Linked DNA regions of Sus scrofa. The protein of the gene in region 1 interacts with the protein of each later gene in a biochemical or structural test. Links are inferred from orthologs where the notes say so. Each region holds a gene or a part of one and is shown in the gene's direction. Other genes may lie near its edges.

Region 1 (4,357 bases):
GAGTTAGACTTTTTTTTTTTAGGGTCTGAAAAGAAATAAAAAATGGTATGTTTATTTTCTCAGACTTTTGTCTGTATATCTGGTTCTTTAAATGCATCATCTAAAACAATGGTTAGTTTAGCCCTTATTGAGTTCTCTGCATATCGAGAACAGAGAACATATCCCAATGTTTTATGGGAACATTGTTCCTATGTTAGAGGGTCTTTCAGTTTAAAGCAAGTGCATTTAAGATTGAGAGATCAGTCACTGTCTTTAAATTGTCAAGAGGTGATGATGGGTTTGAATTTAAATCAAATTTTGAGATTTCCTGTTGTGGCTCAGTGGGTTAAGAACCTGACTGGTATCCTTGAGTATGTAGGTTCCATCCCCGGCCTTGCCACAAGCTACAATGTAGGTTGCAGGTGTGGTTCGGCTCCAGCATTGCTGTGGCTGTGGCGTAGGCTGGCCGCTGCAGCTCCAATTTGACCCCTAACCTAGGAACTTCCATATGTTGCAGGTGCAGCTGTAAGAGTCAGCCATTTTTTTTAAAGTGCCCTGTCTCAGAAATGATTCCGTAGTCACAAAGATAATATTCATGGACAGTTAAAGTATATTTAAAATCTCATCTATCTTACCTTTAGCTTGGTTTCAATCAGTGAACCAATTCCTTGAGCTTATCTAATTACTATAAATTGTGTCCATAGGAAACTAAATAAGATTCAGTTTAATATCTAATAAAGATTGATTTAAATCTTCAATTTAATTCTTACAGTTAAGTTTAAAAATTAGGTGTAAAACAATTAGTCTAATTTTTAAATTATATACTATATAAAGTGCATGCATAGGAACAATAGAATATATGCAAAAAAATGTGCATACTATTATCTCTTGAGTAATTTTAAAAAATTTTTCTTTCTTGTGAATACATGTATTCCAAATTTCTAAGGTGACCCTATATTGCTTTTATAGTGAGAGAAAAGTACAATAAATATACGTGTATCTGTTTGTATGACTTTTATTTTATGCATCACTGCTGCTGTTAGGATGCTTTCTGCTGTAAGTAATAGAAATGTCAGACTAAAAGTGGCATGTTTTCATGTTACAGGGAGGCTGGAAGTAGGCATGCAGAGTTGGTTAAGGCAGAACTTTGAGGCATTTTCTCTGGTTCCACAAGGATTTACCTCAGAGATTAGAGGTTAGTTGTCACCAACCAGAAGTCTCAAAGGCAGAAAGAAAGGGTTGCTTCTAACCCCATGCATCTCTCTCTCCCAGAACCCTCAGCACTTCCTCTTAAATTGGCTAGAATTGGAGCACATGACCACCCTAAGCTAATCACTGGCAAAGGAGAAAGGGATAACCCTAAATATCTTAAGGGTATTTTTATCCTCCTCTAGAGAGCAGTGCTCAATTTCCCTGAACATTTATTTAGCCCTCCGATAACTAAAAAAAAAATTTCTTGTTTTCCTTTTTGTGGCTGCACCCGCAGCATATGAAAGTTCCAAGGCCAGGGATTGAACCCGTGCCACAACAGTGACCTGAGCCACAAGAGAACTCACTTCCTTTTTTCTCTTTTGAGATATCATAAGCGGAATGTTTTGGGGGTCAGAAGCCAGCAATACCTGCCACCATCACCAATTACCTTTTCAAAATAAAACTGAGGCGTTCCCGTCATGGCGCAGTGGTTAACGAACGAATCTGACTAGAAACCATGAGATTGCAGGTTCGATCCCTGGCCTTGCTCAGTGGGTTAAGGATCCAGCATTGCCTTGAGCTGTGGTGTAGGTCACAGACGCAGCTCAGATCCCGTGTTGCTGTGGCTCTGGCGTAGGCCAGGGGCTACAGCTCTGATTAGACCCCTAGCCTGGGAACCTCCATGTCGCAGGAGAGGTCCTACAAAAGGCAAAAAGACCAAAAAAAAAAAAAAAAAAGAATCCGACTGCCATGGCTCGGTCACTTTGGATGTGTGTTCAATCCTGGCCTGGTGCCGTGGGTTAAAGGATCTGACATTGCTACAGCTGTGGCACAGGTTGCAGCTGGGGTTTGGATTCAATGCCTGTCTGGGAAAAGTCTATATGCCACGGATGCAGCCATAAAATTAAAAAAAAAAAAAAAGTTAGACGGAGAGAAATAGAGAAATTGGCATTATTTGTGGGGTGAACCTGTCAAAGATATTTATCTCTATTAATTTTCTTAAAAAGAGAGAGGACCGGGGATAACTTCAGTGCTAGGACAGAACCTTGAAAGAATGAGACATAGACCAAGTTCATTTTCACGATTATGTAGAAAAGGTATACAACTTGACTGAGAAATCTGAATCACGCCATAGGTGAGCAGGATGAAGTTTCCAGGTATTTGGAGATATGCAACTCTGAAAAGAAAATGGAGAGGCTCAAAGTATAATGAATCCACTTTCGCTTGGATCCTCTCTCCACACCAAAATGGGAAAAATTCTAAATAAAAATATCATACATTACAGATGATAAAATGTGGAAAGATTCAATTTTTTGAATCCTACAAACATTTCTCCAAATATACATTTAGAATGAAAGATAAATTCTAACGTTACTGAATTACACTAATTCTTGTTGTTTTCTAAGAAAGGTGAAAGAAGAGTCAAGGGAAAGAGATTCAGAAGTCCTTAGACATTCATTCTGGTATTTAACCTGGCAAGTCACTTACACTGACCATAAATTCCTTTTCCTCACCCATAAAAAACTGGATGACATAATGCATTCATAGCTCTAAAAATCACATGATTCTATCCAATATATGACAGTGCTTGACACGTAGCAGTCGTCCAAAATTATTTCTTAAACGTATAACTTCTTAAAATGGAATCTTAGACTGGAAATCCAAAGCTACTTTTTACTAGCTTTCGGGTTTTTTTTAATTTATAAAATGAAGGATTTTTCTTATTGCTTTAAAACTATTAAGGATTTTGCAATTCCATCATTTTGCCGGCCACTAGAATCTTCTGTGCCTGGCAGGTGCCACGTACCTTCAGCGTTTCGGCTACGTTTATATCCGCCAGACCCCAGTCCTAACAGCGCGGCCACTGCAACCACCTGCAGCAAAGCCCGCCCCTCGACCACACCCAAACCGGAAGCCAGGACGCCCCTGGGCTTGACGGGAAGACGCCGCCAGGCTGATCTCTCCCCGCCCGCCCCCTCCGGTGACGTCACCGCCCGCCCCTTGACCTCGCGGCCCCGCCCCCTTCCCTGCCTACGGTGGTCAGCGGCTGCAGAGTCTCAGGAGACTATGGAGGGGTCTCAGCCGGTGGCCACACATCAGGGAGAAGAGGCATCCTGCTCCTCCTGGGGGCCCGGCAGGTGAGCGGACATTGTGGGCGGGAAGAAGCGAGGCTTGGCGGGCAGGACCCGGGGGCCGGCTTTCTTTTTCTCCCCGGCAGGCGGGCGGGAAGCACGCGAGAGGCCGCGGGGCCGGACTGAGCCGGCCCTGGGAGGCGGAGGGAGCGCACGGGGTGGGTGTGGCGGCGCGGGCTCGGGTCTCGGCGACTCCCGGCTTTTCTGAGGAGAAAGTCCACTTACTGCCCCTTCAGTGCTTTCTCAGTTCCTGTTGGGGTCTGCCATGCTCCTTCCTCTCAGTCCCTGTACATGGGGGGATGGGAGGGGCTCCAGTGGAGAGTTCTGGTCCCGGTCGCTCGGTATGAGCTCCCCAGCCCGGGGGCGCGCAGCTCCTTCCCTCCTCTCCGTGGAGTGAAAGCCAAGAGCGCTTCTGGGGCGATCCTCCGCTGAGACCCTCCTTTGAACTTGGTAATGAATCACTAGTAGTCAGGACACCCAGTGGCTTCTGTTGATTACACCTAAAAAAGAAAGAAAGAAAAGACCAAAAAATCCTGGAAAAAAAACATAGTTACCTATTCTTATTTCCCAGTGGTGTTGAGGTCCACGTTTTTACCGTTCCATCAAAAATAGGGGGGAAATGTCGTGCAGGTCCTCTTTCAGTCATTTCATAATTAATAAAGAGGGCAGTTATATACTGCCCATTACCAGAGTACAATATGCCAGAGATACAAGTGATGCATGTATGATTTTGAGGCTAATGTGAGTGTTCCCAAACCTGTAGCTTTTTGCCAGCTTCAGACTGAAGGGATGCTTTAGGAATCACGGTATTGCCTGGCATTGCCAACACTGCCAGATTTACTTAGGAGATGGAGAAAACAAACAAAACCTCCCCTTATTTAAAGCATTTTTGATAGCCTGATTGACCCTATTTTTAAAATGGTTTTTGAAACAGTACAGCAAAGCAGAATTTTCTGAGAAGTAAGTGCTAGTCTTATCATTAAGTGACAAAACTGGTTAGAATGTAGCTTTTCTCATTTTTACTTTAAAGCTTGACCCACTAGATTGTTGCTATC
Region 2 (4,336 bases), on another chromosome or scaffold:
AGTGATTTGGTGTTTTTATACATTACAAAACGATTGCTGTAATTTTTGTACTTTGAAATGTGCTAAGTGACCCAGCTAGAATGCACATACATTCTTGCATAAAGTGAGGAAACTTTTATTAAATAATACTTTCCCGTACACTTCAAAAATAAACTACAAATCAGAATACTCTGGTTTTTAAAGCAATGACACTGGTACACACAGGTTATGAAAATCAGCGTGGCCTCTGTTCTCACCAGTTAACATACCTCCCTCTGGTGGACACATGGAAGCTGTACATTTACCCCCTAGAATTCTTTTTCTTTTACTTTTCTTCCTTCCTTCTTTCCTTCCTTCCTTCTCCCTCCCTCCCTCCTTCCTTCCTTTTATCCAATTCTTTCTGTTGCCAAAACTACAGGTATTGACTTGTTTTATCATATCATCTCTCCTTTCCACCAGACTCAACATAGCTCCTGGTTTTTCTAAAAGATATTTTAGAGACTTGATTTTCAGGGAGTTCCCACTGTGGCACAGTTGGCTTAATGACCCGGGTTGTCTCTGTGGAGGCTCAGGTTTGATTCCTGGCCCAGCGCAGTGCGTTGAGGATCCCGAGTTGCTGCGGCCGTGGTGTGGGTCACAAGCTCCAGCTCACATTTGATCCCTGGCCTGAGAATTCCAAATGCCGCTGGTGAGGACGAAAAAGAATAAAAGACTCGATTTTCAGAAAACCACCCAAGAAAACAATCAATTTCAGCTCGGAGGACAGAACTGTAACTGTAATAAAATTATAATACAACCACAGTTACAATCGGGGTGGAAACAGTGAAGGGATTACGACAGAAAACACCTCCCTACAATGAGGCAACGCTAACAGTAAAGGGAAAACCCCAACAGCTAACGGGAGACTAGATTGGACAGCACCGGGTAGTACCGTGGACGGTCTCGGGGGTGGGGGGCCGTGGGTCTCCGGCGGAGAGAGGGCGGCCGCAAGGAACCAGGGGGCTACTTAACACCGATTTGGGCGGAACGCAGAAATTTCGGCAGCTGTCAGAGCAGCGGTCAAACTGCACTGGCTCGCACGTTTAGGAAGACTGGCAGCTCTCCCGCAGCCGGAGCAGGAAGCGAAGGCGGGTGTGGTCTCCAGCCCGCCGTGGCGTCCGAGCACCGCGCAAGGTCCCCGCGCCCAGAGTCGGAACCCGGCCCGGAATCCCCGCGCTTCTCGGGCTCCGGGGAATCCCCAGAGCGCCGTCCGCGGGTCTGACCCTACGGCGAGGAACCTCGCTTGCAGTTCCTTCTCCTGACCAGTTACTCCCACGGAGCTTCTGGAAGCGATGTGCAATCCTTACCCCTGCGACCCACTGAACCCGACTGGAAACCGCAGCCACCGCCCCGCGCTCTGGTTCAAAACGGGTGGGCGGACGCCGCTCGGAGGCCGGCCAATCGGAGGCCGCACTCCTCCCCGGGCGGCGCTCCGGACCAATCACAACCCTCGCCGGCCGGAGGAGGGGAGACGCAACCCTCGGGCTCGCGCAGGCGCTGTGCAGGCTGGTTGGCGCCGCTGCGCTGCGAGGGAGATCCGCGCAGGTAAGAGCGGGTCGGTGGGCTTCTCGGCTTAGAGGTTACTGGCTGGCGGGGGCGGCGGCGGCGGCAGGGTCTTTCTGCCCAGCGAGGAAGTATCATCTCCCGCGAGCGGCTGTGTGGCGGAGCATGTGGTTGTCTTGACAGCCCCGTTGGCACACGCCTCCGGCAGCCCCCTACCTGAGTGTCCCCCTTCCCAGACATTCCCCTTCCTCCCACCCGGGCGTCCCCCCACCCCCCGTCCCCGACATTCCCCTGCTCTCCCCGCCGCGTCCCGCTCCCGGTGCAGAGCAGCTGCCGGGGTAGATTACAACTCACAGCAAGTTTGTGGAAACAGAGAGCTGGGCCTTGCGGTAGGAGTGAGGGGCTAGGCTGCATTCCTAGAGGAGGGGTGACGTGTGTATACGTCTACAGACTGTGGGCCTCAGAGAGAAGTCGGTGTGGCAGAAGCAAACGTTTATGGGGAGGAGTACTGGCCATGAGGCTGGAAATGTGGGTTGGGCCTAGATGGTAAGGAACTTGAAATGCCCACAAAATAGTGATGGATGGTTTTGAGCCAAGGAGTGCCACGTACTAATTTGTGTTAATGTGGTGAACCTGGGGTCTGGTTCTCCTTTAGAGAAATTGTCTTATTTGTTCTCACCCTATTACAGTCCCTTTACTATGCCTTTCCACTGCGTTCACATTTTATGCGAAGGTAGACTTTACCACTTGGGCATATTTGTCTCTGTCATCGATTCCCAGCATCTGCTTACTGAGAAAAGAAGGAATTTTTGTATGAAAGGTATGCTTAAGTACCCAGTGAAGTAACTGGATCCAAGAGAAGGTGGTTTAAAGGTGTGGCTAAAGAAATTTGGAAGTAGTTTAAAGAATAATTTGCGTGAAAGACCGTTGTAGTGTAATTGATTCTATTTAACGTATTAATTTGCTTGTGTTATTACTACTATTTAAATATTTCCAAGCGTGCGTGCATGTTGATTGCGGAGGACCACTTTGTCTTTGCAGTGCAGTTCAGGAGGGTACAAAGACCCAACACATACACGTCCTTGTGTTCAGGATAGCTGCCTGAGGTTAAGTTCATAATTATCATGAATTACACTGTCCAACTAAGTACAGTCTATACCCACCAGGTGATCTTTGCTTATTAGTACCTATAATTAGTACCGGACGGTTGGTTCACTTCTGTGCTGGGTGCACTGAGGCCCCAGCAGTGAGCAAAACTGGGCCCAGGCCCGCCCCCCCCGGGGGGGGGCGGGGAGATTGTCATTCATCCGTGGAGACAGATGTTAATTTAAAGCATGTAGCACTTTTCTCTGTAGAACTTGTTGCACATTTCAGACTTTAGTTTAAAAATGTGTTTGCTTGCATAGGTAACGACAAGGAAATGGAAAAAGTGGACTCCCTGCTTGGAACAGAGATTAACAGGGGGGCTTCCTTTGTCCTTCACTAAACGGAAAGCAGAGTCCTATGCTAAAGCGGAGTCCCTGTCACCCGAGCCTGGTGCCTGGAGCCATCTGTGTGGCCATCTTGCCCAGCAAGCCTGACAGCCAGCCCTCCCTCGTGCCTGCCATGCAGAGAGCGTCCCGTCTGAAGAGAGAGCTAACCCTGCTGGCCACAGAGCCGCCCCCAGGCATTACATGCTGGCAGGACGGGGACCGAATGGATGACCTGCGTGCTCGTAGGTGTCACACCCTGGGGAAAACCTGGTGGAGATGTGTGTGTGACAGCATGGTCACCTTCCACCCTAATTTGTTCACTTGTGCATGAGGTTTTCATGACATTTCTTCTTTGGCCTTTTATTACATCTTTTGCTGATTTGCAGCCAGGATTTGGGTAGAATGCTGCAGTCCACACGGCAGGTCTGCGGGTTGTATTCGCTCAGCAGCCAGCATTGTGCGCCTTCTGTTCTGATCTGTGTGGTCTGTGTGGGGTGCTGGCACGCCGCAGGACTTGTGAAGCTGAGAGAGCGAGCGTCCCAGACACGGCTTCTCCGTTAGGGCCACAGGCTTTGTTAGGTCCCTGTGGTGCCCTGACTCAGATCATCCCACTACCTCTTAATTTCGCTCTTTTTTTTTTTTTTTCCTAAAAGAAATACTAGGTGGGGCCAACACACCTTATGAAAAAGGTGTTTTCAAGCTGGAAGTTAACATTCCTGAGAGGTCAGTGTGAATTATATTCTTAATTTCCAGGGTAAAGCACTGTTACTGGAAGCCAGAGCAATGTAGTAGAGTGTTAAATGCAGGAGTTCAAGGACCTGGATTTGTTTGTTTGTTTGTTTAGGGCCACTCCTGAGGCATATGAAAGTTCGCAGGCTAGGGGGCAAACCAGAGCTGCAGCTGCTGGCCTACGCCACAGCCACAGTAGTGCAGGATCTGAGCCCTGTCTATGATCTAAACCACAGCTCACGCCAACGCCAGATCCTTAATCCACTGAGCGAGGCCAGGGATCGAACTTGCATCCTCACGGATACTAGTCAGGTTCGTTACCACTGAGCCATGATGGGAGCTCCAGGACCTGGTGTACTGACTGCTTTGCAGTTCTGGAGAGAGTGATCTTATTCTTAGGGGATGTGCGCTGAGGGATCTAGAGGGGGAGTTGCTTGATCCAGGTGGTGGGCATCTGAGGGGTTTCTGAACTACTGTTTCAACTTTCTGTTGTTTGTAAATGTCCACAGTAAAAACTGGGGCAGAGAAAAAAGGTCTGCCACTCACGGGCTGTGGTCCTGATTGGTCAGCAGCAGCTGTGTCGTGTGCCGAGAAGCGGTGTTTTAGCAGGAGTT

Evidence for each region. The genes of interacting proteins can lie anywhere in the genome.
Region 2: the proteins of UBA6 (region 1) and UBE2T form a complex in vitro, tested with the Homo sapiens proteins (2 studies listed by BioGRID, with this or other methods). The link is inferred for Sus scrofa from reciprocal best matches to the Homo sapiens genes UBA6 and UBE2T.

What each region holds. Positions count from the first base shown.
Region 1 is NC_010450.4:65,467,988-65,472,344, reverse strand, and holds the start of UBA6 (ubiquitin-like modifier-activating enzyme 6), read left to right. Parts: upstream 1-1,515; 5' UTR 1,516-2,877; coding exon 2,878-3,308; intron 3,309-4,357. UniProt on the Homo sapiens protein: Activates ubiquitin by first adenylating its C-terminal glycine residue with ATP, and thereafter linking this residue to the side chain of a cysteine residue in E1, yielding a ubiquitin-E1 thioester and free AMP.
Region 2 is NC_010452.4:24,456,234-24,460,569, reverse strand, and holds the start of UBE2T (ubiquitin-conjugating enzyme E2 T), read left to right. Parts: upstream 1-1,484; 5' UTR 1,485-1,563; intron 1,564-2,902; exon of another isoform or gene 2,903-2,927; 5' UTR 2,928-3,024; coding exon 3,025-3,235; intron 3,236-3,646; coding exon 3,647-3,716; intron 3,717-4,336. UniProt on the Homo sapiens protein: Accepts ubiquitin from the E1 complex and catalyzes its covalent attachment to other proteins. Catalyzes monoubiquitination. Involved in mitomycin-C (MMC)-induced DNA repair.